Pelodiscus sinensis: one gene and its partners. The protein of the gene in region 3 interacts with the protein of the main gene of each other region in a pairwise test. Links are inferred from orthologs where the notes say so. Each region holds a gene or a part of one and is shown on either strand. Other genes may lie near its edges. The genes, in order: FRS3, OLIG3, TLE5 and AIRIM.

The links.
Region 1: the proteins of TLE5 (region 3) and FRS3 interact in binary tests that used the Homo sapiens proteins (3 or more experiments, as listed by UniProt). The two-hybrid records come from large-scale screens. The link is inferred for Pelodiscus sinensis from reciprocal best matches to the Homo sapiens genes TLE5 and FRS3.
Region 2: the proteins of TLE5 (region 3) and OLIG3 interact in binary tests that used the Homo sapiens proteins (3 or more experiments, as listed by UniProt). The two-hybrid records come from large-scale screens. The link is inferred for Pelodiscus sinensis from reciprocal best matches to the Homo sapiens genes TLE5 and OLIG3.
Region 4: the proteins of TLE5 (region 3) and AIRIM interact in binary tests that used the Homo sapiens proteins (3 or more experiments, as listed by UniProt). The two-hybrid records come from large-scale screens. The link is inferred for Pelodiscus sinensis from reciprocal best matches to the Homo sapiens genes TLE5 and AIRIM.

Annotation. Positions count from the first base shown.
Region 1 is NC_134737.1:9,657,810-9,665,663, forward strand, and holds the start of FRS3 (fibroblast growth factor receptor substrate 3), read left to right. Parts: upstream 1-4,852; 5' UTR 4,853-5,074; intron 5,075-6,820; exon of another isoform or gene 6,821-7,535; intron 7,536-7,854. UniProt on the Homo sapiens protein: Adapter protein that links FGF and NGF receptors to downstream signaling pathways. Involved in the activation of MAP kinases. Down-regulates ERK2 signaling by interfering with the phosphorylation and nuclear translocation of ERK2.
Region 2 is NC_134713.1:98,096,111-98,103,109, reverse strand, and holds the start of OLIG3 (oligodendrocyte transcription factor 3), read left to right. Parts: upstream 1-3,993; 5' UTR 3,994-5,252; coding exon 5,253-6,074; 3' UTR 6,075-6,999. UniProt on the Homo sapiens protein: May determine the distinct specification program of class A neurons in the dorsal part of the spinal cord and suppress specification of class B neurons.
Region 3 is NC_134729.1:15,388,292-15,396,289, forward strand, and holds the start of TLE5 (TLE family member 5), read left to right. Parts: upstream 1-4,982; 5' UTR 4,983-5,392; coding exon 5,393-5,419; intron 5,420-6,895; coding exon 6,896-6,993; intron 6,994-7,998. UniProt on the Homo sapiens protein: Transcriptional corepressor. Acts as a dominant repressor towards other family members. Inhibits NF-kappa-B-regulated gene expression. May be required for the initiation and maintenance of the differentiated state.
Region 4 is NC_134735.1:10,126,075-10,133,545, reverse strand, and holds the start of AIRIM (AFG2-interacting ribosome maturation factor), read left to right. Parts: upstream 1-4,455; 5' UTR 4,456-4,477; intron 4,478-4,485; exon of another isoform or gene 4,486-4,613; intron 4,614-4,895; exon of another isoform or gene 4,896-4,919; intron 4,920-4,948; exon of another isoform or gene 4,949-4,990; intron 4,991-5,087; exon of another isoform or gene 5,088-5,220; intron 5,221-6,092; 5' UTR 6,093-6,144; coding exon 6,145-6,416; intron 6,417-7,471. Other genes in the region: CDCA8 (borealin), read right to left, coding at 242-282, 1,126-1,254, 3,512-3,608. UniProt on the Homo sapiens protein: Part of the 55LCC heterohexameric ATPase complex which is chromatin-associated and promotes replisome proteostasis to maintain replication fork progression and genome stability.

The DNA of each region.
Region 1 (7,854 bases), on a different chromosome or scaffold from region 3:
CCCAGTGCTGTTTTCACAGGGGGAACCCCCCTCCCTGATTCTCTTTCTCTCCCCTCTGCCAGTGCCTCCACCTGGCCCAGGCAGGGAGGGTAAAGACAGCCTCCACTGACAGCCCCTCCTGTTCCTTGCCCTCTGCTATTCCTGCAGCCCCCAGAGCAGGGTGCAGCAGTAGAACTCTCAGACTTTCCATGCCATGCAGGGTTTCCAGTTTGGTTCAGTGGCTCTCAGCACCCCCACGATAACAGCGCGCCACCCCCCACAGCGTGGCTCTGCTGGGCCCCGCAGCAACACAATCAATCACCTACCTTCTTTCCGAGGCCCCCTCCTTCCCGCGCCACAGCACAGATCGGCTTCGCCCACACGTCGCGAGGTTCGTATTTCTTCCTGCCCCTTTCCGGCTGCACCCCAGCTAGGGTGACCAGATAGCAAGTGTGAAAAATCAGGACACAATTTTTAACCAAGGGCGGAAGGGGGGTGGGGGGAGTACAGTTGCTTGTAGAAGACAAAGCCCCTAATATTGGGATAGCCCCATAATATTGGGCTGGCTGGTCACCCTGGTCTCCACCTGCTTCCAAGGGCCTCAGGCAGGAGAGTGGCTGAGCCGTGGAAAGTTTTGCAGCAAAGCGAAAGGAAAACATCCAGGCTAAACCAGGGAGATTTTTTTTCTTCTTTTTAAAAATCTGCCTGCCCAGGAAACTGGATCTGTGTCAGATGGGATCCTAATTACAGGGCTTTTTAGCTTAAACCTACAGAGGCAGCCAATGGCAGCAGGCAGGGAGGGAAATCAGGCGAAAGGAGGCTGTTGTTAACCCTGCAGGGGAAAGAACTGGGCGATGTTTTGCTGCTCGCTACCTCTCTACCTCCCTCCCATCTGTTGTCTCATTCCCTCTGCTTCACTGGTTTGTTGCTGTTACCCTCGGTGATGATTATTATGCTACACAGCTCACACATTCTTTTGAGGCTTCAGGAAAGAAGGTAAAGATAATTATCCCCCTTTAAGAGATGGGGAAACTGAGGCACAGGGAAGCGACTCCTTCCTTAAAACTCACTTCAGCCATGATGCCTAAAATAATGGTTAGGCAGCTGGAGAGCTCTGACTGCTATTAATGACATTCATTATAATTGTCTGACTGATACCTCGGGTTCCCCTCTGTTTGCTGTGTCACCTCTTGTCTCGGCTTATGCTTACAATGTAAGCTCTTGGCAGCATAGCTTGTGTTATTGGTTTGTACAGCATCTAGCCAAACGGCTGGGGCCTCGATGAACTATGGCAACACAAATAAGTGAAATGCTGAGGACTGTGAAGTGACTTGCCCAGGGTCACACAGCCAGTCAGTAGCAGAGGTGGGAGGATGCTCCACCCTCCAGCATGCCCTCTATGTATCACCACCCCTGTTCAATAGCATTTCACTGGCCACCTGTCAAACACAACAACCAGGGAGCTCTGCCCTTCAAATACTACTACCCCGCTCAGTTCACCCAGCCTGGCTTTCTAACAGGAGTTCCAGTCCAGGCACATGCAGCTCAACCTGTGCTAAAGGGAAGCTCTAAGGAAACTGTTCTACCACCTTGTACCCAGTGAAAGTTAATCGACTGTGTTTGGGTTTGGGGTCAGTGTTATCTTGCCTGCTTGCTGTTGTGGACTTTGTCCCATTGCGCTGCTTGAGTTCTTTCTCTGTGTGCACCGTTTGTAATATCCCTGCCTCCTCTGTGTCCTTGTCCATTCACTCGCTGCCATTTGTGTCTATTTACACAGAAAGGGAAACATTTCAATCACACTTAAGCTCCCATCTACAAGACCAGACATTATAACACAATGGTAACTCAGAAGGTGCTGCCTTGCTCAGGGGTGGGCAAGAATTTTTGATGTGGGTGGGGACTCTTTTTGTAAGTGTTCAAGGGCCACACTTCGTCATGGAGGGGGTGCACAGTCTGGGATGGAGGTTGGGTGCAGAAGGGAGCCTGGGGTGGAGGAGAGAGTGTGGGGTCTGAGAGGGCATTTGGGTGAAGGAGGGGTTGTGATCTGGGGCAGGAGCTTGGGGTGCAGAGTCCAGAAGGGATGTAGGAGAGCGTGCAGGGTCTGGGAGGGAGTTGTGGTCTGAGGGAGGATGAGTGCAGAGGGTTTGGATGGTAACCTGGGGCAGGTGATTGGGGGTCAGGGTCAGGGATGGAGTATAGGTGCAGGAGAGGATTCTGGCTTTGGGGAGGTGTATAAGTGGGGGTTCAGGGTCTGGGAGGGTGATGACCTGGGGCAGGAGGGGTGGTAGTGTGAGGCAGGGAGTTTAGGGGAGAGAGAGGCTGGGGTGCCAGAGACAGGCTCTGGCCTGGAAGTGCTTACCTAGGTGGCGCCCAGTCAGCAGCCCTGCAGGAATCAGTGCACTGCCAGCCCGGGAAAACCCCCCTCCACCCCAGGACCTGCCTCTTCCCACCCCTGCTCAGCCCCCTTCCCACCCTTGCTCCTGCCTGTCACAGTCTCAGGCTGCTCAAAATGGCTGGCTGCTCTCTGTGGCTCTCTGTTCTGAGTGCTGGGGGGAAAGGGGAGGGGGAGGTTTCACATGCTGCCCCTGCCTCTCAGCAAAATATCTCAGCTCCTATTGGCCAGAACCAGGAGCAATGTAAAGTGTAGTAAAGGTGGTTAGGAGCCCCAGATCCTTTAAGATCACCAGGTCCCAGGGCAGTTACCCCCTTAGCTCCCACTTCTTGGCAGGCCCCCCAGACACATGCTCCACCCCTCAGCCCAGGGAAGGGCCAGGAAAATGTCTTGCCGGCCACATATGGAATCTGGATGGGTCACGTGTGCCCTGTGGGCTACAGGTTGCCCACCACTGAAGTAATGCCTTCCTACTTTCCCTCTCACAAGGGAGCCCTCTACCATTCTTGTAGTATGTCCTGAGCCATATTTAGCTGGGTTGCACATTTATTATGCCCTATTCATATAGTGCATATGCCTCCAGACAACTCCATCGGCCGGGGAGAATTTCACAGGGGGATCAGAAGTATTCCAGCTACAGGCAATTTCCATCACTGTTGTTGCCAGCAGAAGTCTCAGATTAATTCCTCTCACGGGTATGGACAAGGATATTTTCTCGGAGTCATGTTCAAAACCCATTTGAAACAATCTCTCTGGGTATGTCTAGGCTGCACCATTAGTTTGGAATAACTGACATTATTCTGAAATAATATAGTACACGTCTACACTTCAAGTCTTTTTTTTCCAAAATAATGTTGAGCTGGAGGACTTCTTACTCCGGTAACCCTCATTTCACGAGGAGTAAGGGAAATGGAAGGAAGAGTGTTCTTCCTTTGACTTCCTGCTGTGCAGACAGCGTCAAAAACTGAGTTAAGCTATTTCGACTTCGGCTGTGCAATTGATGTAGCTGACGTTGAATAGCTTAATTTGACTTTAGCCCTGCTGTGTAGATGTGCCCTCAGAGGTCAGAGTTAAATTCTTCCCTATCACACCTGTGGACTTCAGAAGAGAATTTAACACTGATGTTATAGGTTGGCTAGAACAACCATAACCTATTCCTGTTCATAAATCAGGGAACTCATGTTAAACCCATCTTTAAATAGTTGTCACTAGCAATATTAATTATGAAAGTTATTTATATCCCATGCATTCAGACTATATATAATGCTAATTCTATTCAGGGCAGTTATGCGGATATTGTGAGCAGGTACTACTGTAGTTGAATCAGAGAATGCTGCAGTTGGCAGATACAAGGCTGGGCAGAAGACACAGTGCCCCGAGGTGGGTGTCCCTGTCTCATAGTCTCTGAAGAGTGTGGTGGAAGATGCCTGGGTAACAGACTAGGAGTGAGCACTTTGTTGCTAAAGGGAGCCCTCCTACTGAATTAGGATTTAATATATGATCTCACCTTACATTTCTACAGCATCTTTCATTACACAGAAGCACCAAGTACTTTACAAATCACAGAATTCAGGGATCACTCTACACCCATGGATAGATAGCCACTTCTGACAGCTGTTTAATAACAGACCCAGCAGTTTAGTACAGGGAGTGAAAAATATTGTAAAACACAATGAATACTATCTAATTAGTTTAAGCATTGCCCATGGTATGTTGGGGATAAGCGATGATTAGTATGGATTTATTTTATGGTAATATCACATTACTAGCAGCCACTGGAGTGTGCATGTATTTGAAAGTATCCACAGGATGTATGGAGAGGAAAAACAGGGACACACCTTTTAACTGCATCTCTCTCCTTGGGGACCAAGGGAGATTTTTGACTGGCAATAGCAATATTGTACTAGAGAAAAGGGATGGTCTGTCTGAGAGGGCATAGGTGGTGTGGGGACTACTGGTTGTTTTGTGTATGTGGCGTGGGAGCACCCATGGGGTTTTGTCTGTTGGGGGAGCCTGTGTGTGACCATATGCACAGTGTTGTGGCAGGAGCTGGGTAGAGGGAGGTGGGCTGTGTGCGGAGGGTGGAGTGTGTACACTGCTCTGCACTTTCCCCTAGTTTCTGTCTCTCTTCACGTGCAAAAATGTTTAGCTCAGGGTCAGCTCCCCCAGCATCCCCCCAAATGCCCCATCTCCTCATTCCCCCCCCCTCCTGTGCCTGCTCCCCCTCCCCCAGAGCCCCCTCCTCTCCCTCCCTACCCCCAGAGCCAGCTGCCCCAGCCCCTCCCTGCCAGATCCCCCCTCCCCCACTACCAGCTTCCCCTCCCTCCGCCCCCTCAGCCAGCGGCCCCGCCCCCCAGTCCCAAAGCTCCTCCCCCCTCACAGCCCGATGTCCCCGCCCCGCGGCTAAGCGCCTCCCCCGCTCACTCCAAGGTCCCGCCCCCCGCCGCAGGCCCCGAGCAGCGCGGCCCCAGCGCCCCCTAGCGCCCGCCCGGGTCCTCCCAGCGAACGACGCTCTAGCCTGCGGCTGCCGGACTCGCTGCTCCCGCTGCCGGCGGCTGCGGGCCCGGCCCCGGCCCGACCTGGGGTGGGGGGAGGGAGGCGGCGCTGGCGGGTCCCGGAGCCCGAGCGGGGGCCCCACGGCGCCGGCCGGCGGGGGGGCCCGGCCCTCAGCGCCCGCGCGGCAGAGGCCGGGCAGCGCCGCAGGTACAGAGACCCCGGCCCCCTCCCCCTCCCCCCACGGCCCCGCCCCCTCGGGCCCCCCCTCACTCCCCCCGCCCCGCCCCCGGCACCCCTCACAGGTGTCCCCTCCCGCCTGCTGCTCCCCGGCACTCACCCCCCCGGGCTGCGTCCGCCGCCCCCCCCGCGCCTCCTGCACCGCCCCCCCCGCGCCTCCTGCACCGCCCCCCCGCACCGACCCCCCCCGCACCGACCCCCCCCGCGCCTCCTGCACCGCCCCCCCCCGCACCGACCCCCCCCCGCGCCTCCTGCACCGACCCCCCCCCGCGCCTCCTGCACCGACCCCCCGCACCGACCCCCCCGCGCCTCCTGCACCGACCCCCCCCGCACCGACCCCCCCGCGCCTCCTGCACCGACCCCCCCCGCACCGACCCCCCCGCGCCTCCTGCACCGCCCCCCCGCACCGACCCCCCCCGCGCCTCCTGCACCGACCCCCCCCCGCGCTTCCTGCACCGACCCCCCGCACCGACCCCCCCCGCGCTTCCTGCACCGACCCCCCGCACCGACCCCCCCCGCGCCTCCTGCACCGACCCCCCCCCCGCACCGACCCCCCCCGCGCATCCTGCACCGCCCCCCTGCACCGACCCCCCGCGCCTCCTGCCCCGCCCCCCCGCACCGACCCCCCCCCGCACCTCCTGCACCGACCCCCCCCCGCACCTCCTGCACCGACCCCCCCCCGCACCGACCCCCCCCCGCGCCTCCTGCACCGACCCCCCGCACCGACCCCCCCCCCGCGCCTCCTGCACCGACCCCCCCCGCGCTTCCTGCACCGACCCCCCGCACCGACCCCCCCCGCGCCTCCTGCACCGACCCCCCCCGCGCCTCCTGCACCGACCCCCCCCCGCGCCTTCTGCACCGACCCCCTCCCCGCACCGACCCCCCCCCGCGCCTCCTGCACCGACCCCCCGCACCGAACCCCCCCGCGCCTCCTGTACCGACTCCCCCCGCACCGCCCCCCCGCTCTCCTGCACCGCCCCCCCCCCGCTCTCCTCCTGCGTCTCCTGCACTGACCCCCGCTTCCCTCCTCCGCCGGCCCCCCCTGTTCCCCCCCCCGCTCTCCTCCTGCACCCACCCTCCCCGCTCTCCTCCTGCACCCACCCTCCCCGCTCTCCTCCTGCACCGACTCCCCCCCCCGCTCTCCTCCTGCACCGACCCCCCCCCCGCTCTCCTCCTGCGTCTCCTGCACTGACCCTCGCTTCCCTCCTCCGCCGGCCCCCCCGCTTTCCCTCCGCTTCCCCCCTGTACCGACCCCCGCTTCCTCCCTCCTGCACCAACCCCCCTACTGCCCTCTCCCCGCCTCCTCCCACGCTTTCTGCACTGACCCTCTGCTCCCCCAGACTCCCTGCACTAACTCCCTCACGCTAACCCCTCTCCTATGTCTCTGCCTGACTCCCTGTTCCCCCTGCACTGCCCTCTGCCCCCAGCACTGACCTCCTGCTCCCCCTGTGCTTTTTGCACCAACCCCCTGCTCACCTCCCGTCCCCTGGATCTCTTGCACCAACCCCCTGCTCCTCTCTCCCATGCACCTCCTGCGCTGACCCCCTCCTCTCCTCTCCTCTCCCACTGACCCCCTCCTGCTATCCCCCCCCCACAACCCTCTGCACCTCCTGCACTGACCCCCCCCCCCTTCCCATCCTCTGCCTGACCCCCTCCTGCACTCACTCCACCCCATTATCTTCTCGATTCCTCCACATCTCATGCCCGGATACCCCCCCACTAGGAATGTTAATGGTTAACCAGTGGGGACTGGAGCCGCCTCCTGCCCACTGTGTAATTAGTTAACTGGTTAAACTTAACATTTAACTGGCTAACTAATTAAATGGGATTTTACATCCCTACCCGGTAACTCCAGCACTGACCCCTGCTTTCCCTTGCCCCCCTGCACCTCCTACGCTGACCTCCGTTATCTCCTCCCTCTGACCTTCCCTGTGCCTCCTGCACTGATCCCCCAGTGGATTTACTGTCCATTTTTCATCTTCTATTGTGTATTATTCCTTCCATTCCTACCCTACCACACCAAGAGACCTGACATTCCCTCATTAACGATTCCCTTCTCGCCCATATGCCAATCACTGCAGTTTGTGTTGTCGCTCATGTAATGGTACCCCCTTTTCATGCCTTCTGCCACCTCTTTTCCTGTTTATTTCCACTCAGTTGGCCAGACACCAGGGCCTTAGGGCATCCATATCCTGCTTCCTGAGCCAGGTTCAGAGCACTGGCATAGGATAAACCTTGCCTTTTCCCTACCTTTTCACCACACTAAGCTTCTAAATTTTTTGTCTAGTTGCTTATGTGATCCAGCATGAATTTGAGGGGGTCGCTGACTGCCCTGTGCTGAGTGACACAGGTTTGTCCTGGGTTATGCCGTGTGGCACTTGGTGGCGTCTTGTGCCAAATGGCGCTTTTTGCATCAAATTGTCATCCTGAGGTGTGTGCTGTTCTCTCTTCATTGCTCAAATCTCTCGCTTTCTGAATCATGTAATGAACAGTGTTTGCCTTGATGCTTTGCACATGAAATTTGAGCAGAACACGGGAATATGCGAGGAGGTATGTGCAGAATAGTGCATTAAACAGAGTATTAGATGGAGGACATGAGTCTTAGGAGATGGGCATAGGGAAACAGAAACATCTGTTGCTGGCTCTGGAGAGACAGGGAATGTTGGACAGAAATGTGAAATATTCAGGGAGTGGAAAAAAATTGTAAAATACTGATTAATTCAAGTTTTGGGGGGGGTTCAGTGGAGGAG
Region 2 (6,999 bases), on a different chromosome or scaffold from region 3:
TGTAGTCATGCCAAATTTCAAAATAGCCTATTTCAAAATTCAATCAAAATAAGATATGCAATTTGCATAGCACAAATTGCATATCTTATTTTGAGTTTTTGATTCTGTGTAGATGCATTCTGGGAGTTTTGCTATTTACTGAAAGGGGAGCAAGAGCACACTTTTAAAATCTTTAATAGTCTTGTCTAAAATTGATTTTGCTTTTGGTCCTACTTCACTTTCTAAAGTAAACAAAACAAAAAGCAAGTGTAGCAGATAATGGAGAGTAATCAGTATCATAGTACAAAGAAGTATGAGCTACTGCTTTATTATTCACACACACATGAGAAACACAGACTAGAGAGAAGTACATATTGTAAGGAACACTCCTGCTCTAACAAGGAATAGAGCTGGTAACCAGGTATTTGTTTGTGCGATATTTCTGTTGCAGTAAATATAGTAATAAATCACTTATGGCCCATTTTAAACTACAAGGAGTTTGGGGGAACAGCCTGTTGCATTACTAAGCCGAACAAGAGTTGCTGGTGACTGTGACAACCATGTTGATAATAATTAATACATACTCCATCTCTCTAAATTGTAGAGTGTCGTGCAAAGCTATTCTCTCAAAGCCTTCCCCCTCCCCTTTTGCTTATTTATATTCCCACATGGCCCAGAGGAAGGACTAGATCAAATGGAGGGTCCTTTCTGGCGTAGGGTTGGGTTTATGTATAAGAATTCCAGGGCAGTGAAATTTTCTATCAAATCCTACACCAACTACTGATACACATCGCTTGTCTGATATTGCTGAAATATGTGGAGTAGATTTTGCGTTCTTTCGGCCCTACCAAAAATGTGCAATGCTAAACAAGGAGAAAGGGGGCAGAGCCTTGCCCCAGCCAAAGTCGCAGCAAATGCAAAATAACACTTGTCCCGCCTCAAGCGGAGTATTTTCATTGTATTGGAGGGAGAGGGGACGACAGAATGCGCTCGGATGCCCCGAAAATCTCTCTGCGGGTTTTTTTTTTTTTTTTTTTTTGCAAACTATGCCTTTGTGTGTGCATGTGTACCTTGGATTGCCAATTAACTGAACAAAAACAACCAGAGGCGCTTTGCTCTCCAGCCAGCAAGGCAAAACTCTGTCGCAGGCGGGCGTGGTGGCTAAAACCTGCCAAGGCGATGGAACGGTACAGGGTGGCTGATGGCTGTAGCGCTGGAAAAGTCGGTCCGAAGGCCCTTTCTGCAGTCAGATCGCTTCATCTCTAGCCCGTGACGCCTGGTCCTTCCCCTTCCCTCGCTGGGGCTCGAATTCTCGTCTTTGCCAGTCAACTTGCCTAGCTCAGGCAAAACCTTCCCTTGGCCGCTGTAGAGAAGAAGCATGTACATGTGTGTTTGTGGATCTTCCGGGTAAACGCTGGAGGTTCGGGCTCACAGTATAATGTCCTGACAGCAAGATTGTCCCCACTGACACCCAGTCATTGATGGTGGCTGGGATTCCCCCATCCCACCCGGGAACACAGCTCCTCACCCCATGGCCTGTTCCCACATTACACCCGGCTGTAACAATTCCCAGCGAAGATCCTGCTGTCCCACCCCTCTGGTTTCTATGTCTGGCAGGGACAGAGAGAGAGAGAGAGACAGAGAGACAGAGAGAGAGAGCGCACATGCCAGTTTCCCCCTGCAATTCATTCTGCGCCTCCCCCCATCTCTGCTCGAATATAACCCCAACTCCAAAAAGCACGTGCGGAGCGCTCCTGCCCTTGGCAATGGGAGACGCTGCGGTTTGCAGCAGAACACCAGGACCGCAAAGGAATGAGCAGGACAGGGTGGGGGCGAGGCAGCCGGGAGTTCACTTCTCTCTAATAACCCCCCTTCCTCCGGAGCTGGCTGACAAGGCCTCCCTCTCGCCCTCCACACTCTTCCCTCGGAAGAGAGAAGGCAGCCACCCGGGGATCGCTTCTCCCGGGCAGTAGATGTTTTGGTAGAAAGCCGGGAACTGGCGCTAATCCCTCTTGCTAAGAGAAAAAAAAATGTAAGTCTGAGGACAGGGATCTCCATGATCCCCAAAGCCTGGGGACCAAGAAGAAGCCTGTGCCATGCAGCCGGCCCCTGATCCGATGGAAGTTGTCTTAAGGGCGGTTCTGAGGACGAAGAACTCTTAACCGAGACAGAACAGAATCCCTTTGGTTGCAGCTATCGCATTTATTACTATGAATCGCTTGACGGGTTTTACTTGATTCTTTTCTCCCGTGCTTACACTTTTGTCTTATTAATGTGAATAGCTAAGCAATTAATGCCCCCCCTTTAAAACTTCTAAAGTGTTTCAAATAGATACAATGGGGAGGGGGGAATCAGTGGGCAAGGCTGGAATTTGCAGGTCCTGCCAGCAGTTTTTCCAAGCACATAAAAAGTAGAAAGGGGCAGAAAGAGACACGTTGGGTGTCTTTTCATGAGTAAAGATAGCTCCAGAAGTGTACCCTGCCTGGTCCTGCTTAGATTTGTGCTCTTGGCTGGGAAGAGGGATGGCGATCACTAGGTGCATTATTCACTTATGTTCCTGCATTTGACGAAGGGATTTTGACCAAAAAAAGCTGATGCCCTATTAAATGTGTTAGTCTGTAAGGTGACCCAGGACTCCTGGCTGCTTTTAGAGATACAGACTAACACGGCAACCCCTACAGACTATCAGTTATGCGGTTCCTGATGTCGTGAAATGGGAGTGAATCTCTGTATAGGCGCCAGATTACACGGAAATGTGGACAAGTTAGTCAAACAGTTTTTCTTTCTCCTTATACCTGGAGTGGTTCAGCTACGAGAAAAGCCGCGTCTCCCATGCTCTCAGCGGAGGCTTGGCAAACCGAAACTGAATGCAATCATTTTTCTGTCTTACGTGCTTCTGAACAAGGGGTTAATGCACCTTATTTCTCAGTCAAGTTATTGGTCCAACTTTCCCCCCAGTGAGAGAAGCGCCTTTTTCTTTTCTTTTCTTTTCTTTTCTTTTCTTTTCTTTTCTTTTCTTTTCTTTTCTTTTCTTTATCACTCTATCTGCTCCAGTTCCCACGGCGGGATTTACAGACAGCAATGACAAACGTCTTAAATGTGTTTCTCAGCAGATTAAGTACAGTTAGAATCAATAGGAGGAAAACATCTATCGCTTTCAGACGCTTCTCCTTGTGGGTCTGAAATATCCTTGGAGTAACAATAACTTGGACCCTGCCTGCTAGCAGTTGCTTTTAGTCTGTCCAGTGCAGTTGGTCTTTTAAAACCCATACTCAGACGGAAAACTCCTGTCAAGGTTTCATTCTCCAATCAGGAAAGCTGTTAAAGGGGGAGTCAGGCTTCAACCCAAGCCAGTCTGCACGTGCTAACGGTTCCACTGCCGTGTCTACACAAGAGTGCTTGAAGAAGTTTGTTGGAAGGTGTCAGCTAACACTTGCTAACCAAACACTGCAATCAAGACAAACCGTCGCTGTCACTCTTCTCAATTCACTCCCTATGTTTGTCCTTTTCACACACTCATGCATTCAGCATGTGCAGGGCACACACCAATCAGTCCCTGGCAATTCCAGGGGCTGAGCCGTCTCTATGTACACCGGATCTCTACAAAACTACTCCAAATTACACTCTTCCTCATAAGCACACCTGGCTTTGGCAGGCTTCTCCGCCCCCCTCACACACACCCTCAAACTCCTCTCTCCCCAGTCCCGCAATGGCGCATCCCAATGCGCAGTATCTCTGCCCGGATCCTACAGAAAGCACTCACATATGCCCACAAACAAATCCTGCACATCGGTACCCAGACTGCCGCATATCTGGAACAGTCTTGCATGGCGCTTTGCAGAAGCTCCGCCACAATACACACAGACACTCAGGGCAACATAACGGAAACACTTCCAGCTATAGACACACAAACTGTCATCCTTCAGTATCCCAACACACAGTCTCTCTCTCTCTCTCTCTCTCTCTCTCTCTCTCACACACACACACACACACACACACACACACACACTCATACTCACACACACACTCACACACACTCTCTCTCACACACACATACACCAGACTCCTATGTCTGTTACCAGGTATATATCAAAATAAAACTACTTCAAGGAGCCAGTTACTTACTCTAACAAATCTTCATCGCGTAACATATTATTGCTTGCAAGAGTCTCTCCCCCTTGTGACTTGATGTTAGTTTCCTTTTGCCTGCATGTGTCCAGTCTTTTATGCAGCTTCTTAGTCCAATTCACAAACGACTTCCTTTCCCCACCTCCTCCCATTCAGTGTATCTATAGGGAATAAATATATCGTGGTCTCTCTTCTAATTTTGAAACAATTTGGATTATCTTTAAAAATAAAACTGTCAACACAGATTCATGGTTTATATTCATTCAAAGTGCAAAAAAAGTCAAATGGTTGCAGCCAGAGAGATGAATTTCCAAATATTTTAATAGAAATGATAAGCGAGAAAACCATAAAGATCGGTGGCAAATGAAAACGAAGGGGAACTAAAATATGTATAGAAAAGGATTAAGAAAGTGAGACAATTATTTTCTTTCGGGATTGGAACCAGCCAAATACATACACACAGGCACACACCCCAAAGCAACCAATCTTCCTCTGCTTCCTCAGACAAATAGAATTTGCTACGATGTTACTAACACTGAGATGCTAGACTGAAAAATGACCCCAAGCAAAAATACACACCCAAATCAGCCCCTTTGCTCTTTACTGTACACTAGAGGCAGTTTTATATTGGAAATTAGAAACAGGGGGAGGAGAGGGCGTGAACATTCAGGGATGAGTGCGTGTTGTCAATCAGAGAGGTTTTGTGTCTCCTTGACTCCTGATGGTCCATGGCTGAGGTGTCCCAGGGTGGCACCACAATGAATATGAATGGGAGTCCTTGCTAAATGGGACAGTCAAAGCGCACCGCCCTGAATAATTGCACGTCATCCTAACAAGACCATTATAGATAGGAGGGCTCCTTTTGTCTCTTTTCTCTGCTGCAGCGCTATAAAAGCCCCTCTTTTCCAGGCTGAGGTTAGTTCAAGCATACACCAACCAGCTATCCCGTATGCAGGCTGGGTATCCAGCGGAAGAGATTAGAGGGAGAAAGAAGAATTTTCCTCCTGTTTGAACTCCCTCCCCCCTCACAGAGCCTGCAGGGTTTTGTTTTATTTTGTTTTGTTTTGCTTTTTTAAAATAACAATCACCCAACGTCACCCTCTTTAGAGCAGGGAAGAAATTTCTTGCTCGGAAGTCCAAATACAATGAATTCTGACTCCAGCTCTGTCTCCAGCAGAGCGTCCTCGCCAGACATGGATGAGATGTACCTGAGAGACCACCATCACCACCATCACCACCACCACCATCAGGACAACCGGCTCAATTCGGTCTCCTCCACGCAGGGCGACCTGGTGCAGAAGATGTCCGGGGAAGGCCTGTCCAGAAACGGCTCCAAGGCCGGAGGGGAAGGCAGCAAGTACAAAATCAAAAAGCAGCTCTCGGAGCAGGACCTGCAGCAGCTGAGGCTGAAGATCAACGGGCGGGAGCGCAAAAGGATGCACGATTTGAACCTGGCCATGGATGGGCTGCGGGAGGTGATGCCCTACGCACATGGACCTTCGGTGAGGAAACTCTCCAAAATTGCCACCCTCCTGCTGGCCAGAAACTACATCCTGATGCTCACTAGCTCCCTGGAGGAGATGAAGAGGCTGGTGGGTGAAATCTATGGGGGGCACCACTCCGCTTTTCACTGCGGCACAGTGGGACACGCAAGCGGGCACCCGGCCCACCCAGCTAGCACGGTCCACCAGGTTCACCCCATCCTTGGCAGTGCCTTGTCTTCGGCCAACACCTCCTCCCCGCTCTCCGCCTCCCTACCAGGGATTGGCACCATCAGGCCCCCTCACTCTTTACTCAAGACTCCCTCTACCCCCCCGGCCCTCCAGCTTGGCAGTGGCTTCCAGCACTGGGCCGGTTTGCCTTGCCCGTGCACGATCTGTCAAATGCCACCCCCGCCACACCTGTCTGCCCTCACCACAGCCAACATGAGCAGGCTCGCTGCAGAATCCAAGGACTTGCTGAAGTGACGCTGAGCGCCCCTCGCTCGCTGTCTCAGAGACACACCTCCACCCAAGTTCTGCTAGGTGCTGCCGCAGGAAGACTCAAGCCAAGAAGTCCAGTGTTCGCATGCATGCTTCTTTTCCTCCCATGGACGCCGGCCGGTGTGTTCTCCCTCACTGACATCCGAGCTTGTCCAAACTGCATTTGTTGTAACAAGGGATTAGTGTAGTAAGGACCTTCCAAAGGTAACGTTTTAGTTGGATGCTCGGGCCATGTTGTCTTCTTATGCTAAAACAAAAATCCCTGTTGTAAAAAAACGAATAAAAATGTAAATAATTCCTTTAAATGGATGCAAAAAAAAGACATGCTGGTCATTGTACTGTTCGCAGCTGCAAAGAGACGATGAGTTATTGGGGGGGAGGGTTGTTTGTTTGTTATTTGTTTGTTTTTAAAGACAAACGCCGCCATTTCTGGGAATTTTCTCTGCTCCACTCCAGGGTATGACAGCTAGGAATGATGATTCTTTTTTTTACCCAATATAGCCCAAAAGAATGCATGCTTGCTTATAATTGAATCTCGTTTAAACATGTTGTTCTGGCAATGGTGCAGTTTTCCTTGTAACAAGGATATTCCCTAAAGCATTTCCTGGGTTCCTCCCTACACCCTCACCCCGTCCGTGGCTGTATAAAACGAGAAATAGCGCAAAACACGCACAATGTTTCGCCAGGTTTTTATCTCCTGCTCTAAGTGCAGTGTAGTAGTTCAGCTGGCTGGGTTCCACATTGCCCTCAATACCCCTTGCTCAGTGATCTGCATGCAGGGTCGACTCTGGCCAGATTGGTCATTGTGTTACTCCATTGGAACTTTACTGTCGTTTTATGTTTGATTTTGTTATGTTTTCCTGGGCATTTGCTTGAAATATTTTGTTACGGCCTCAAAGACAACAACGTG
Region 3 (7,998 bases):
GTGCCACAGAGAAGGCTAGTTTTAACTTTCTGTCACAGAGGGCAGTATTTTACACTCACACATGCACACACAAATATATTCCAAGTTGGTACCACTAGAGCTGTGTGAAACTCGGCCATTTCTATTCATGATTTTAGATTCATAGGGCCTGCTTCTCATTTATACTAAGGTCCCTCCTTACATTACTAGAGCAGACAATTACATTTTCACTCACTTTACATGTCAAGGGGCATTAATGTAAATGAAAATCACATAAGCCTCACGCAGCAATTCCTGCATCTAGCCCAGTCACTTGTGGTTGAACTAGAGTGTTCCTTTTAGGAGACCTCCAGCTTTGTATGACCCAAAGCATTGTGTGGTGCATCGTGTTATTCTAGCAGTGAAGGACGTATGGATTATTTGAAATTGCAAGGACTTCTTAAAATTATGTTATTTGCTGATTGCATTGATTTTCCTGCTGACCCATTGGTCTCTACATGATGATGGTTTGACCTGTGATCCTTAAACTGATGCAGCAAAGAAAATTGCCAAAATGAGCCACTAGTGAACTGTAAGTCAGTTTGGTATCTGTGTATCTGGAATTCCACGGTGTGTGAACAGTGTGTCTTGGGGCCCAGAACACAGCCTGAAACTCAGCAGACTGGACCTCTATTTCTGGTTCTGATGCTGGGTGATCCTGGGCAAGTCAGTGTAACGTGCTATGCCTCAGTTTCCCATCTGTAAAAAAAGGGTTAGTGATAGACATTTCTCTTGTCAAGCACTTTGCGAGCTACTTGTGTAAAGTGCTATATAAGAGCTAGGCTTATTGTTGTCTGATGGAAGACAGGATACTGGGCTAGACGGACCTTTGGTCTGTCCCCGTATGGCCATTCTTATGATGCGATGTGCAACAGCTCAGTTAAAAAAAAATAACGGAGTGGTGACACAGGGCTTCTGCAGCTGTTCTCGTGGGGTAGCTCTCAAGTTTGATGTCCTTATTCAAATCTATGCAATCCTTAACTTGCTTGGTTTGACTGTGGTGACCATGCGAGTACCCTAAGCAGTTGGAATGTGTGTTCACTCAGTCGCATCGAATTTTACTGCCTGGCCAAGTTCAGCTCTTACTTTATTGCTCAATGCTAGCTGCACTTTACAGAGAACATGACCCAAAAAAGAGCTCTATGGGAGCTCAGAAGCAGGTCTCTCTCACCTACAGAAGATGGTCCAATATATCAAGGGCATTCACAATTACAGATTGATGGTAGGGAGAGATTGCCTGATTGCCTCCACTTCCATGCCTATTTGCGCTGCTGCCATAGCACCCCTATTGTGAGATGACTGGGAACCAAATTCATGGGCTGGCAGCCCTAATCTCATCAATTCCTGTTTCAATCCCAAGACCATTTGATATGCCATGAAGGGACTCCCATCCCTGTGTTTGAAAAGGGGTGCCCTCCCCCCTTCCACCGTATTGCCACTGTATTACCTCGAACATGTATTTTGCTGTATGATGCATCAATAGAGCCCTACGCAGCTACAAAATTTGTATCTGCAAAAATGAGCCACAGATATCTGCATCCACATCTACAGATGCGGATACCTATGGATATAAAGTGGATATCTGCAGATTTGCAGGGCTCTTCGCTTCTAAGCCTCTCAAATACCTTTCGAGACACTCCCAGACCATTTCCTGCATTTTGATCAGGTTTTGCACCTATTTAAATAGATATGCATTTGCAAACTGCTCTTCAGTGCAAACCCATTGGGTCCTTCTTGTTCCAGTGTTTCAAACTCTATGGAGTGAAATCTGTCCTTATGCTGAGACACTGGGATACCGTAGATAGGTGGGCTCATTATGTGTTTACTATATGAAGCAAGCTTAGATATTTAACACTGGGTCGTCACTAGTATTTTTGTATTTGCCTACTGTGATTATGTGGCACTCAATTTCCCTCTCTGTGCTGGAATTCACTTTTTGTTCATTTATTTCCAGCATCATAAACCAAACTATTATATCAACTTGCTCTGTAAGGGATCTATCAAAGATCATCGTGAGAGCTGTCCGTCCATGAATGTATTTTGCTTTTATACAGCGTTTCAGATTGTGCTGAAAGCAATGCCCTGTGCAAAATGGTTGCCTTTATTGTGTGTATGACACCGCATCCCTTGGGCTGCACACCTTTCTGTCATCTCGTGATTGCTTCCGCATTCACTGCATCTGCTGTTTACTTGCCTTTGTGTTCTGTCTTTATGCATTTTTAATTAGTTGCACTTCAGTTCTTTCACTGCTTTTTAACACTTTGAGAAGCAGTTTTCACCAGCCTTGAAAATATCCAGTCCTTTGCAAAGTCAAATCCATTTCTCATAAACACCTTGCTTTGACCTATTTATCAGTTATGCCACAAGTAATTCTGTCTCTAATTAGTATATAGCTATTAACTGTTCAAATTTGCATGGCCTAGCTTTAATACACAGGTTTGTAACATAAGGATCAACGGTCTCATCTGGCACTAGAGAAAAATATGCTTTTCCCAACTGACTTTCTTGCATGGATCACTGTGCTCCAAGAATTTTTGAATGAAATGTTAAATGGTTTCAAAAAAGAACAAGATAAATTCATGGAGTATAGGTCCATAAATGCTTATTAGCCAGGACGGGCAGGAATGGTGTCCCTAGCCTCTGTTTGTCAGAAGCTGGGAATGGGTGACATTGGGGGGGGGGGGGGGGGGCTCACTTGATGATTCCCTGTTCATTCCCTTTGGGGCAACTGGCACTGTTGGAAGACAGGACCTTGGGCTAGATGGATCCTTGGTCTGACCCAGTCTGGCCGTTCTTGTGTTCTTATGCTGCATGTTGCAATTTGCAGCCCTCTTCATGCTCCCTACCATAGCTCACCAATATTTTAGGCTTGTCCCTCCCAGGTAAAAGTGAAGGGAACTTCACCCTCACAGATTTCTCTGCCATGTCACTTGCTTTCAGGAGAATTTGGAAGTGCTGCAGAGACCATGCAATAAAGACGTGACAGGCGGGAGTTATGGGGCAGGGTTGCAAAAGGGTATATACCCTTCACCTGACTGCAGTGACTCCAGTGACTACTGTTACAGCCCATTGGGATTCCAGGTCTGAAAATTCCTAGCCATGTTGGGTTTCAGCTCTGGAGTTACTCACAGCCAAGACATAAAGCAAGGCCCCTGAACACAACATGTTACAATAGTTCAGCTGATACAGCTCTTTCATCTCTATCAGTGGGTGCATACCTCATGCTAACACCAATTTAGGGAGTACCACACTGCTAGAGGGGGCAGGCATCTGGTCATGGGCACGATGTTAAACCATGGCCCCTGCTGTTTGCATATAGGTGGAAAATAGACTTCCTTTATCACTCCATAAGAGATTGGAATAGCCAAGAGAATCAGAGTAATGTCCAAGGCTTGCTCACTGCATAGCTGGGGGTTAAGTGACTATGTTCAGTCTGAAGGCTACAAGGAAACCATTAGGGTTTTTGGGGCTCTGGCCTAACTTTTCCAGCTCCCAAATTGCACTGCAGGAAAGGACATTTTAAAGGGGAGATGCATTCAGCACAACACAGGAGGAGGGATCCTGTGTGAGAAGAAAACAGAGAGTAATGGTAGAATGATTATGTTTGTAGGGCCTACAGCAGTGGTTTTTAGCCAGGGGTATATGTACCTGTGCGGGTACACAGAGATCATCTGGGGGGTACATCAATTCATCCAGATATTTGCTTACAGGCTACATAAAAGCACTAGTGAAGTCAATATAAAATAAAAATATCATACAATTACTTATTTATTCTGCTCCATGTACTACATACACTGAAATATAAGTACAATATTTATATGCCAGTTGATTTATTTTATATGGTAAAAAGGAGGAAGTCAGCAATTTTTCAGTAATAGTGTGGCTGTGACGCTTTTTAAATATTTTAATGTCTGATTTTGTAAGCAAGTCGTTTTTAAATTAGGCGAAACTTGGGGGAGGGGGACATGAGAGAAATCAGAGTCCTGAAATGAGTAGCCATGTTTCAGAGGGGTAGCTGTGTCAGTCTGTTTCAGCAAAAACAAGGTGGAGTCCTGTGGCACCTTAAAGACTAACAGACTTATTTGGTTATAAGCAGGGCTCGACAAACCGCGGCAAGATCTACTCGCCAGCCCCACACCGCGCATGCGCCAGACCAGCACTGTGCATGCACACAGCACCGGTGAACGGGGCAACTGGCTGAAATCTACTCGCCACAGGCAAGTAGATATGGCGATTGGTCGAGCCCTGGTCATAAGCTTTCATGGGCTGGACCCCCACTTTGTCAGATGCATGATTCATGTTATATCCCCTTCACCTGGCAGGTGTAGTAGCCACTCACTCCAGCGGCTACTATTACAGCCCACTGGAAGTTCCACGTCTGAAAAATTCAGGCTGATTTATGCATCTGACGAACGGGGCAGCGTAGCGTGCGAAGGTTGAGAGCCACCGGCTTAGAGCAGTGTTCCCTCTAATCTTTTCAATCCAGATGCAGAATAAATTTTTTATGTACACTGAGTCATGTGTGAAAGTGCACTGCCAGGAGAAAAAAAACTCTCTGTGGGTGCTCTGCCAACCAGTGGGGTGGCATTGGAGTCTCAACTGTGTGGCTGCACAAGCCTTAGCTCATAGGGAACTTGGGCCTAGACACACAAACCCTACTGTGCCTAGACCCCTATGAAGAGGATCCCTGCAGCCTTTCTGGGACTGAGTCCTGCCCACAGAGGGGCTGGAGCAGTTTTTGTACTGGGCGGGGGGCGGGGGGGGCGCCATTGACCCAAATAGCACAGAATGGAAACCCTTTCAAGCCAGGGCCGCTGCAGCATCTTTGGAAGGGGGAGGCCCGGGTGACGCGTTAGCTGTTCAGCCGGAGCGGGAGTAGCAGGAAGCACGTCCAGGGAGGGAATGCGCTGGAGGGAGGGTGTTGCTAGCTGCACCCGCCTGGGGAGGGGAGGCGTTCCCTGGCCCGGGAGAGGCGCTAAGGTCCCTGCCGGAGAGGGGAGCTGCAAGGGGGCGGGCGCTGGGGGGAGCTGCAGCCAGGCGGGGGAGCGCAGCTCGGCTTTGCTGCAGAGCCGGCTCCGGGGGAGCGGCGCGGAGCGGGGCTGCTGCAGAGCGGAGCGGAGCGGAGCGGGGCGCACGGCCGGGCTGCTGCGGGGCGGAGCGGGGCGCGCGGGGCAGCCGCAGCCGCAGCAGCAGGTGGTGCTGATCAGCCGCAGGACGGAGCCGCAGCCGCCATTAGACAAAAGGCGAGGCGGCCGGAGCCGAGCGGAGCCGCAGCCCGGCGCGGGGACGCGGCCTAGGCTCGGGCGCTGCGCAGGGACAAAGGCGGAGCAGCGGGGCCCGGCCCAGGCAGCAGCCGGAGCAGCCCGAGCCTGACATGATGTTTCCGCAAAGCCGGCACTCGGTGAGCCGCGGGCCCGGCCCGGGGGCTGCACCGGGGCGCGCGTGGGGGGTGCGCGTGGGGGGGGGGCGCTTAGTGCGTGGGGGAAGCACGGAGCGGGGGGGCTCTGCACCCCACGGGGGGGTCGGCGCACAGGTGGGGGCTGCTCAGCGCGCTCTGGGGCAAGCGCCGGGGGCTCCTGCGGGTAAGGGGATGCGTGGGCGGGCCCGAGGCAAGGGGGGTGCGGGGGGAGTTCAAGGTTGGGCTGGAGGTGTCGGGCTCGGCGGGGCGCTGCGGGGGTGGCTCGGGGCGCCTTGGTCCAGGAAGTGCAGCGGGGCGAAGCGGCCACTGCTCTTGTGCTGGGAAGACCCTGGCAGCTGGGCCAGCCAATGCACAAGGGGCGTCTCTGCCTCGCGTGGGGTCTGGGGCGAGCTGGAAGGGACACGGGGGTGCTGGGTGGAAACCGCTTTGGGCCCTGGGGGGCCAAGTTGGTGTTTTATGAGGGTGAGGGGCGGGGTGCAGGTGCTGTCTGGGAGAGGGTGGTATGTGGGGGGCAGGAGACGGGGGAGGGGTGAGGGCACTTTTACCTGAGTAGCTCTTTTCCTTTTCTTGAAGCTGGCTGCTCTGCTTCTTCCAGTTTCTGTGAGGGGTCGGTGCACTGATGGGAATATTTATCTCCCCCCCCCCCCCCCCCCCGAGCTTACTGCCATCGGGGCTTTGAGCCCCTGATTATCCTGATGGGAAAAGAATAAATGTTTATTGTTCCTCCACTTTTTAATACCCGAGTCTAGATAGAGCCGTAGAGGAGGAGGATTGCCTTGAAACAAACAAACAAACAAACCCTAGGCTGGCAGATTGGGGTGGGTTTAAATATCCCCTGGCCCCTATCAACTCTCTCTCTAATTCTGGGGTGTTGCCTGGTGGCAGAGGTGCTGTCCTTCCTGTTGCTAAAGGAGGCAGGAGGCATTGTGAGCTCAGATCAGCTGAGTGAAAGCTTGGCTCACTGGTTGGGATGCCAGCCTGGGACTGGCGACTGCTGGATTCCATTCCTAGAGCCAGTGGCTTAGTCTGTCCGTGCCTCAGTTTCCTGTCTGTAGAATTGAGGTAATAGCCCTGCCCTCCCTCACAGGGGTGCTGTGAGGCGAAACGCATTAAAGGAGGCCTTTAGAAACTGGGACCTCTCCACCTTCCTGATTGCCGTAGCTAGCAGAGCAGCAGCAGGGCTGCATGACCGTGGGCCCCTTTTGGGGCCTGTGTTCCCCATCTGAGGGGGCGGAGGCGGGGAGAAATAGTTCTCCTGGAGGTGGGGCTTTAATTCCAGGTCCTTGGTGCAAGAGTGCTAGGGAAGGAGGCTGATGCTGCAGTCATTGCTTGGGGGTTGGGGGTGCTGCCCAGTGCTGACCCTCATCTGTGGGGACAGCTGTGCTGGAGGGGGAAGGCTTGTCTGGGCATCGCTTTCCCTCCTGCCATATTGCCCGGCGCTCTCTTCTGTGTCCAAAGGGTTCGTCTCATCTGCCGCAGCAGCTGAAGTTCACGACCTCTGATTCCTGTGACCGGATTAAAGATGAATTCCAGCTCCTGCAAGCTCAGTACCACAGGTGAGCCTAGTGCACTGCGGTGCAACTAGCCGCAGCCTGCGGCTCTCCATGTCTACGGCCCACGGGGAGCTGGCGGGGATGCTATTCAGGGCCCATGCCAAAGTGAGTGTTGTCTTGGTGACGTCCCTCCTCCCAGCCTGCCGTAAGGGATGCTCTTCTCATCGGCTGCGTGCTGTCACTGCGATGCTCTCAGTAGCTAGCCAGAGATGGTGGCAGTAAACGATGCTTTCACAGGTGGGTCCCAGGGGCCTGTCACTTGCTCGCTTCTGCCATGAAGTTTTCAGGATTTTTTTGTTAAGGGCTCCTGGGGAGGGGACGGGATATTCAGAGGTTGACTTGCTAGATAGAGACATGGTGATAGACAGGAAGGAGGACCGGCGCAGTTTCTTGCAGCCTTATGTACTGCTGCAGTTGTCAGAGGATGACTCGTGTAGGAAACCGAACTGACCCTCACAGCTGATCCCCCAAGGAAACAGACCCGAGCAATGTGCTTTGGAGGAAGATTCCTTCACAGCAGCCAGATTTGAAATGCGATGGAGAGCATGATTGCCTTGGCTAAAATGGCACCTAGTTGTGGGGGGAGGGGTGGGGGATGAGTCCTGCTGTGTTATAACCCTGACGATCATGAAAGCTGAAGGCTTTAAATTCCCCCCCTGAGCAGCAGTACTCCTGGTTTACCCTTTGCTCAGCTAGGACAATGAGGACTAGCCGATTGCACTGTGGCTGGGAGTTTGTAGTCTGTGCTGTGTTCTGTCTTGCCCACGTGAACCCATTGCAAACACTGCTGGGAAATGCTGAAATCTCAATGTGCATGTTTTCCAATAAACCTTTCTAGTGATCTTAAGATTTGGCTTTTATTGGAACAGAGCTTAAATCAACCTGAGGGTATCCTCTTTAATTATCTAATACACCATTGAGATCTCTTCATTTTGTGTCCTTATGCATATGACTTTGTGGCTGCTCGCTTGTTCTGCTCTGACTTTCCCATGTGCCTTGCGTCCCAGG
Region 4 (7,471 bases), on a different chromosome or scaffold from region 3:
CTGCATTTGAAATGTAGTAAGAGCACGCCCAGCTCTTACTGTCTTTAGATCACAAAGCCACAATGGGGGTAGCTCCTGTATCAGCATGAGCCAGGACAGACAACTTTCCCTTTTTGACTAATTGTGTAGTCAAATTACCTCTTTCTTGACATCCCTAGCTCCTAAATACATTATACAATAGCACTAAAAAAGAAATTCCTATTATTTGGCTTAGTTGCTACACTGGATATACGTTACCTACCGTTGCTGCTTCTTCTAGGGCCTTTTTACTTCCTCCTTTAGCTGGAGACGGAATTTTTTAAATTAATGAATAACCAGAGTAATTTATGCAATATTAAAAATTTATACTTGCATAGAATTAAACAACCAAACAATGAGCATTTCTTGACAGTTAATGACTAGCTTAAGCTAAAGAAACTAGTATGAAAGCAAGAGTTATCTTAAACCACAAATCTGTGGTTGTTTATGAATCCATATGGACAGGGTATTCAATTTGCCTCTTCTTATTTCCAAAGATTTTTAAGCACATGATTGTACACCTAGTTAATCCAGTGTCACACTTTACATTGGCTCATGTACCAGTGACTTTAAGATATACAAAGGAAAAACTTGTGAAGTCTTATTTTGATTTAGCACTTTCATACAAATAAATGTATCTAATATACTGACTTTAAATGCAATGTATTATAAAAGAAATAACATAATTATAGATAACAATGACAATATCAATAGTAATTATGTTTACGTATTCATTGTATGCAGGCCTGCTACAGGGTGGGGATGGGAAGAAGGGAGCAGTTGCCCCGGGAGCCAGCAATTCAAAAGGGACTGGGGCTCTAGGCCACCGCTGTCATAGCAGTGGCCAGAGTCCTGGGCCCTTTTAATCGCTGCTGGAGCACCATCTAGCACTCTCCAGGTGACTCTGAGGGCTGGCTGCCCCAGCTCTGCCCTTCTGGGAGCATGGAAGCAGTCTCTTCCCACCTTGCCCAGGAGGCTGGCAATTCTCTCGGCCCAAATAATCGGGAGGGAGGGAAACAAAGTCCACTAACTGAATAAATTTAACTCATAACTCAGTTACAGCTCAAAATTATGTTGTCAACACATATGGGAATGGATGGACCATACCAAAGTAGTCAAGCCAGTTCATCTCTCTCAGTGCTAGAGGAAGTCTGAGGTTTTCTATGTTATAAAGATTATCCAACTCCTTGAGAAGACTTCGCCCATTTGTTTGTATCTGATCAATTCTAGTTTGGACTAAACGAAAAAAAGAAAATGGTACGATTAACAAATATATAGAACAAAAATATTATTTAGGATTTACACATCAAGGCTTGAATTTATGTTTCTCTGAACATCAGCAAAAATCTATTCCCTTATGAACACGCTTTTCTGATCAAATCTATTTCATTCATCCCAAGTGAGTTAATTAAAATGCATAAAAGTATGTCTACAGTGCTTCTGCACAGACAGTCCTAATACCAATAGTAGGGAATAGTAGGGTTTTACCTTACCCATCAATGAAGGCAATCCGCTTCGAGAGGCACTAGCTAGGTTGATGGAAAAATTCCATAAAGGTAGAACAGATTGTTACCTACCACCTGTATTGCAACTAGGAATGTGAAAGGTTAATCAGTAAGCATCACCTTTAACAGATATTGCTTACCAGTTCTGGTTAACAGGTGCAGGGCTAGAGCAGTTACCCACCAAGCATGGACAGGGGAGCTGTTATAGCCCCGCAAGGGCCTGCCACGGACACGGGCACTCCGGAGCAGTCACTGTCCACAGCGGGCCCAGGCACGCTGCAGGAAGAGAGCCACTCCAGCTCAGCCCCCACTCCCCGGCTCCCATTTAATTGATTAACCAATTAAACAGGATTTTACATCCCTAACTACAACCCATAAAGGATATCATTAAACAATTACAACCCATACTTGATGGGGATATCCTGAAAGATTTCTTTTCTGAACCCTCTTCTGGCCTTTATACAATCCCCCAATCCCATCATCAGAAATAAGGCCTCCACAGACCAAGACATTAACTCAAAGCAGCACCAGACACGGCCACAACAAAGAAAAACCTGTAAGCATATTTCCAGTGCTGCAATGACACACCCCTCAAAATCCATGGCTTGTAAGCATGTCTATCACATTATGGGTGTGTCTAGACTACATGCCTCCTTCGAGGGAGGCATGTAGATTAGCCAGATCGGAAGAGGGAAATGAAGCCGCAATTAAAATAATCGCGGCTTCATTTAAATTTAAATGGCTGCCCCGATCTGCCGATCAGCTGTTTGTCGGCAGATCGGGGCAGTCTGGACGCGATGCGCCGACAAAGAAGCCTTTCTTCATCGGCACAGGTAAGCCGAGGCTTACCTGTGCCGATGAAGAAAGGCTTCTTTGTCGGCGCATCGCGTCCAGACTGCCCCGATCTGCCGACAAACAGCTGATCGGCAGATCGGGGCAGCCATTTAAATTTAAATGAAGCCGCGATTATTTTAATCGCGGCTTCATTTCCCTCTTCCGATCTGGCTAATCTACATGCCTCCCTCGAAGGAGGCATGTAGTCTAGACACACCCTATGTGATGTATCTCGCCCAATGGTAGTAAATGTGTCACAGTAACATTGAAACAGTGAAACCAGACAAACACTATGTACTTAAAATGAACTCACACCAAAACATAATAAGAGTCAAAAATACTGTTTTCCCTCCGGGCACACACTTTTCGCAGAGGAATCAGCCTATGTCTGACCTCTCTTACCTCATCCTCAAAGGTAACCTGTACAACACCTACAAAAGAAGAGCCTGGGAACTTAAATTCATAAGTTTGCTAGATACTAAAAATCATGAACTAAATAGACACACATTGGATTTACGGCTTATTACAATAATCTATAACTCACTGGAGAGGTATTAATGGCCACTTCACATTGAATGGTCCCTTGAAATGTGTGTTAATCACTTATGCTAAACAATTTGTTTCACCTAGTATTTAGCTGTGACATTGTGAGTACATTTCCCCTAACTTGAAGAACAACTTTACATAAACTTGTTTCTCACCCACAAGAATTGGCTCAATATGAGATATCTTACGTATCTTGTCTCTCTATACATCTTATTGACAACCACCCAATGGTTAATATTTGTCAGCTGCCACTGACCTCTGAAAAGTAGTTCCTATTTTAGTTTAATTCCTGATAGCCCTACAGCAACAATGCAGCACACTCTTTACAACAAGTCTCCCCCGACCACAGACGCTCAAGAAAGGGCAAGGTTTGCATGAGCATCTAGAATTAAACCATTCTTAAACTCCTCAAAGTCATCCTTCTGGATCAAAGCTCTGGCTTTTTTGCTGTATCTGTCCTGCCTGTACAACACTTCAGTTTTCTGAGGTGTTAGTCTCCAGGGTTGTCAAGACAATAACTTTCACATGCATTAAATTAACCTGGAAAACAACTCAGGGCCCTAAAGTCTTTGTAGAGAACAAGTTTTATGAATGAGTGGAATGGTTACCTTCACAGTCAAAGTCCTTTAAAAATGCAGCCAGCTTTTTCTTTTTCACATTGTTTTTGCTGGTACCATTGTTTGTTTTCTTCTTGGATGGTGCCATGGTGTCAGATAGATCTGTGTAGCAGAACGGAAACAGCCATTTGCATTCATACAAGGAGGAGACACTTGCCAGTTAGAGACAAGAGGACTCTAGTCTTTTGGGAGCTACTGCTGCTCTATCCTCATTGAAAAATCAGGGCTCCTAGGCCAACAGCAAGCTACAACGTAGAGCGACGCATTGGTGCCCCAGACAGATGAGTGGTTCCCCAATACCAGGCAGTAGCTCCACCAGAGGTGGCATGGGGCTGAAAGCTCGGCATGGGCTTGTCTGAACAACATAGGGCTCATAGACTTTAAGGTCAGAAGGGACCATTATGATCATCTAGTCTGACCCTCTGCACAGTGCAGGCCACAGAATCTCACCCACCCCTCTTAGAATAATCCTCTCACCTATATCTCAGATATTGAAGCCTTCAAATACTTGAAGGCCCCAAGATGCAGAGAATCCTCCAGCTGTGATCTGTACCCCATGCTACAGAGGAAGGCGAAAAACCTCCAGGGCCTCTGCCAATCTACCCTGGAGGAAAATTCCTTCCCGACCCCGGTTGGAGCCTCTGGGCAGAAGAAGTTAAACAGACCCACAATGCTTTTGTCCTGGAATGAGGATGCGTCAGGAACAGCCATGCCCGGCCCCAATCCGCATCACCTCTGTCTTGTAGACAAAGCCGGCTGGGAACCCCTTGCCCTGCCCCAATTTCTTACAGCGATGGCTCCTGCTCAGTAACAGACTTGCAAGTTGCCGGCCTGGCCAAAAAAAAAACCTTCGAAAACAGACTTCGGGGGAAACTATGGAGCGGGACCTTCAGATGCAAAATGGACACGATCCGACGGAGTCCCAGCAGCCCCTGGGAATGGCTGGTTCCCACCCAGGTACGTACCCCTGCCAAACGGACGCTCCCCCTGCGCGCACCCGAGGAAGCGGGCGCCCAAATAAAACCGTTGAAGGAGCCACAGGGCTCTGGGGCGCTGCAGCCTGGGAGCGAGACCCCCCCAGACGCTGACACCGGGAGGTGATTGAACTGGGGCGGGCAGGCTGGGAAGCCCTGGGGTAGGGCCATTGCTGGGGAGGAGGGAGGAACACGTGACAGAAGGGGGGGGTCTGGAGGTGTCCCCCCCCTCCCGCGCGTGCTTCCCCAACGCAGCTCGGTCTCGCCCCTCCCCCCCGCAAAGTGGACCCCGACGCCCCGCGATTCCTTCACCGCAGAGCGGGACCCCCCTCCTCAGAATTACCCCCCCATCGGGGTCCCCTCACCTCACCATCCCCCCCCCACACCAGAGGGGGACTCACCTCGCCCCGCCCCCACCCAGCCGCGCCCCACGGCGCCCCGCAGCCCCACTGACCAACTCGCTCCCAACGCGCGCGAGCCGCCGCAGCTACATTCAAACCCGGCCGCCCAATCAGGCGCGCGGGGCGGCGCGCGCGGCGCACGCGCACAGGCAACGGCCGCCCGCGGGAGGCGGGAGGGCGAACGCGCCCTACCTCTCCCAGCAGCGGAGCCGACGGGGAGACTTCCGCTTCGCCAACTGGCTGCGTCATTTCCGGCCCGTAGGGCGGAACTACACTTCCCAGCAGGCGCCGGGGGCAGGGACGTCGCTGTGGTTGCGGGGCTCAGGTAAGGGTGGGCCCTGGGGTCAGGTTGCCGCTCTCCCGGCTCCCCCCATGGAGACCCTCCGCCCCTCCCCCCGGGGCCTTGCTCCCCCTCCCCCTTTGTCCCCTCATGCAGATTCCCTGCTCCCCCCCCCCAGCCATGCTCCTCCCCCCACATGGAGACCCCCTGGGGCCCTGCTCCCCGCCCCCGTTGGCTCCCATGTAGAGACACCCCCCCCCCACTCGGGCGGGGCTCTACCCTCAAATGTGTCCACCCCATAAATAGAAGCCCCCCCCCCCCCCCCAGTTTCCTGTTTCTAAAGCAAACTCTCGTCTAGGAGCTGCCTGGTCCCCTGAGGCCTGCGCTTCTCAGTCAGTGGCGCTGGTGGGTGGGCAGGCGGGTGAGCATGGACAGAGGGGCAGGAGAACCTCTATACCTGTGTGACGTAGTGGGGGTACCTGGCTGGTTTCTATGCTGCTGGCTCTGGGGTAACCCCCACTGGCTGCCATGGGTACACGACCCAGCGAAACAGGATGAGTCACTATGCAAACCAGTGGCCAGACACCCCCCATGGAGAGGAACAAAGGAAGGGGGAGGCTGCCCTGGCTGGGGAGCAGGGCTGGAGGAGAGTGAGTTGGTGGCTGTCTGGGAGCATGGAGGAGACAGCCTAGGGAAAGGGGCTGGAGTTTAGGGGCCCAGTCTCCCCCCATCTCAAGGGGGCCTGAGGCATCCTAGCCCAGCTCTGGGACCAGATTACATCTGTGCTGTGCTGTATCCTGAAGAGGCAATAAACTTCCTCTATTTCACCGGCTGGTGCAGTATGTTTGTGCCATTTCGGGGTGCAGGAGACGGGGGACCCCCAACGCGCCGTCACAACCTGTGTGTGCTTATTGCAGGTGTCTGGGCGGTGCCTATCCTGGGCTATACTCTGGGTCTGCCTATAAGAGGATGTCCGAGAGCCCAGCCGTTCTGGTCCTCCGTCAGTCCCTGCAGAAGTGCTTCCACACCGTACAGCAGCAGCAAGAGGTTTGGCAGCAGGCGCTGACGGATTGCAAGCCTCTTCTGAGCTCCCTCAGCAATCTGGCTGAGCAGATGCAGGCCTGCCAAAAGGTCACATTTGCTCATACACCACTGCGGAGTTTCCCAGATCTGGAAGAGCAGCTGAAGTACAAACAGCGCTGTGCAGCTGAGAGCCTGCTGGAAGAACTGGGAGGCAAAGTGTAAGAGGCTGTTGTGTCAAGACCTTTAAAGTTGTGAGCATCATGAAAGCCCAGACAGATATGCTGGGAGAGCTGGAATGTCTCTGTCTGGCCTATTTGCAGAGTTCACATCTGAAGGAGAGCGGATAAGTCAAGTCAAAGGGATAAGTGTCACGCTTCTTTCTGGAAATGCTGCAGCTATTATCCTAACACACATAATAATAACACATGAAAATTATTCTCTGTCTTTCAGTTTGTTTACTTCATCTTTATGTGGTGGGCCAGAGTCTCAGCTGGTGTCAATCCATGTAGCACCTTTGAGTCCTGCTGGAGCTTTGCTGATTTACAATAGCTATGAATCTGGCCGAGTGTTAATATTCATTTTTACGCCTTGTCCTCATTTTGTGTCAGTCTTTCTTACAGAATCTGGGAAGTATGTGCATTTGTGTGGGACAAACATTTAAAAAAAATAGGTAACTGTAAAACCACAAGAATAACTGCAGGTCTCAGCCATGTGTAATACCTAATAATTTAAAGGAGTTAAAAGTATTCATTAGATTTCAAATTACAATGTCTCTAAGTTATGTAATTGGTTCATACTTTCAATAACATGCTCTTTATCCATGGTTTTCAAACTACGGGTCACACCCCAGTATTGGGTCATGGAGTGTCAGGCACTGGGTCTCATTCCTGCAGAGTGACCAGTGAGGGTTCGAAGGCAGCTATCTGCCTGTCCTGGCACCGCAAACTGCTCTGTGCACCAGCAGCAGCCAGTAATAGGCTCGGCTCCTAGTGGGAGAGGGCTCTGTGCACTTCCCCAGCCCCGAGCACTCGCTACGCACTCATTGGCTGGGATACAGCATGGTCTGGTGTTGGGAGCAGCAGGAAGCCTGCCTTAGAACTCCTGTAGCACCACTGATGGGGAGACACTCAAAGTAAGCCCCTTCTGCTCCAGCCTTGACCCCCCCCAAGCCAGAGCCCCCTTTTACACCCCAAAACTCTTATCTTCAGCCCCACCCCAGAACCCACACTATAGTCAAATTATGTTAGGGCATGGGCATCAACAATTTTCTTCA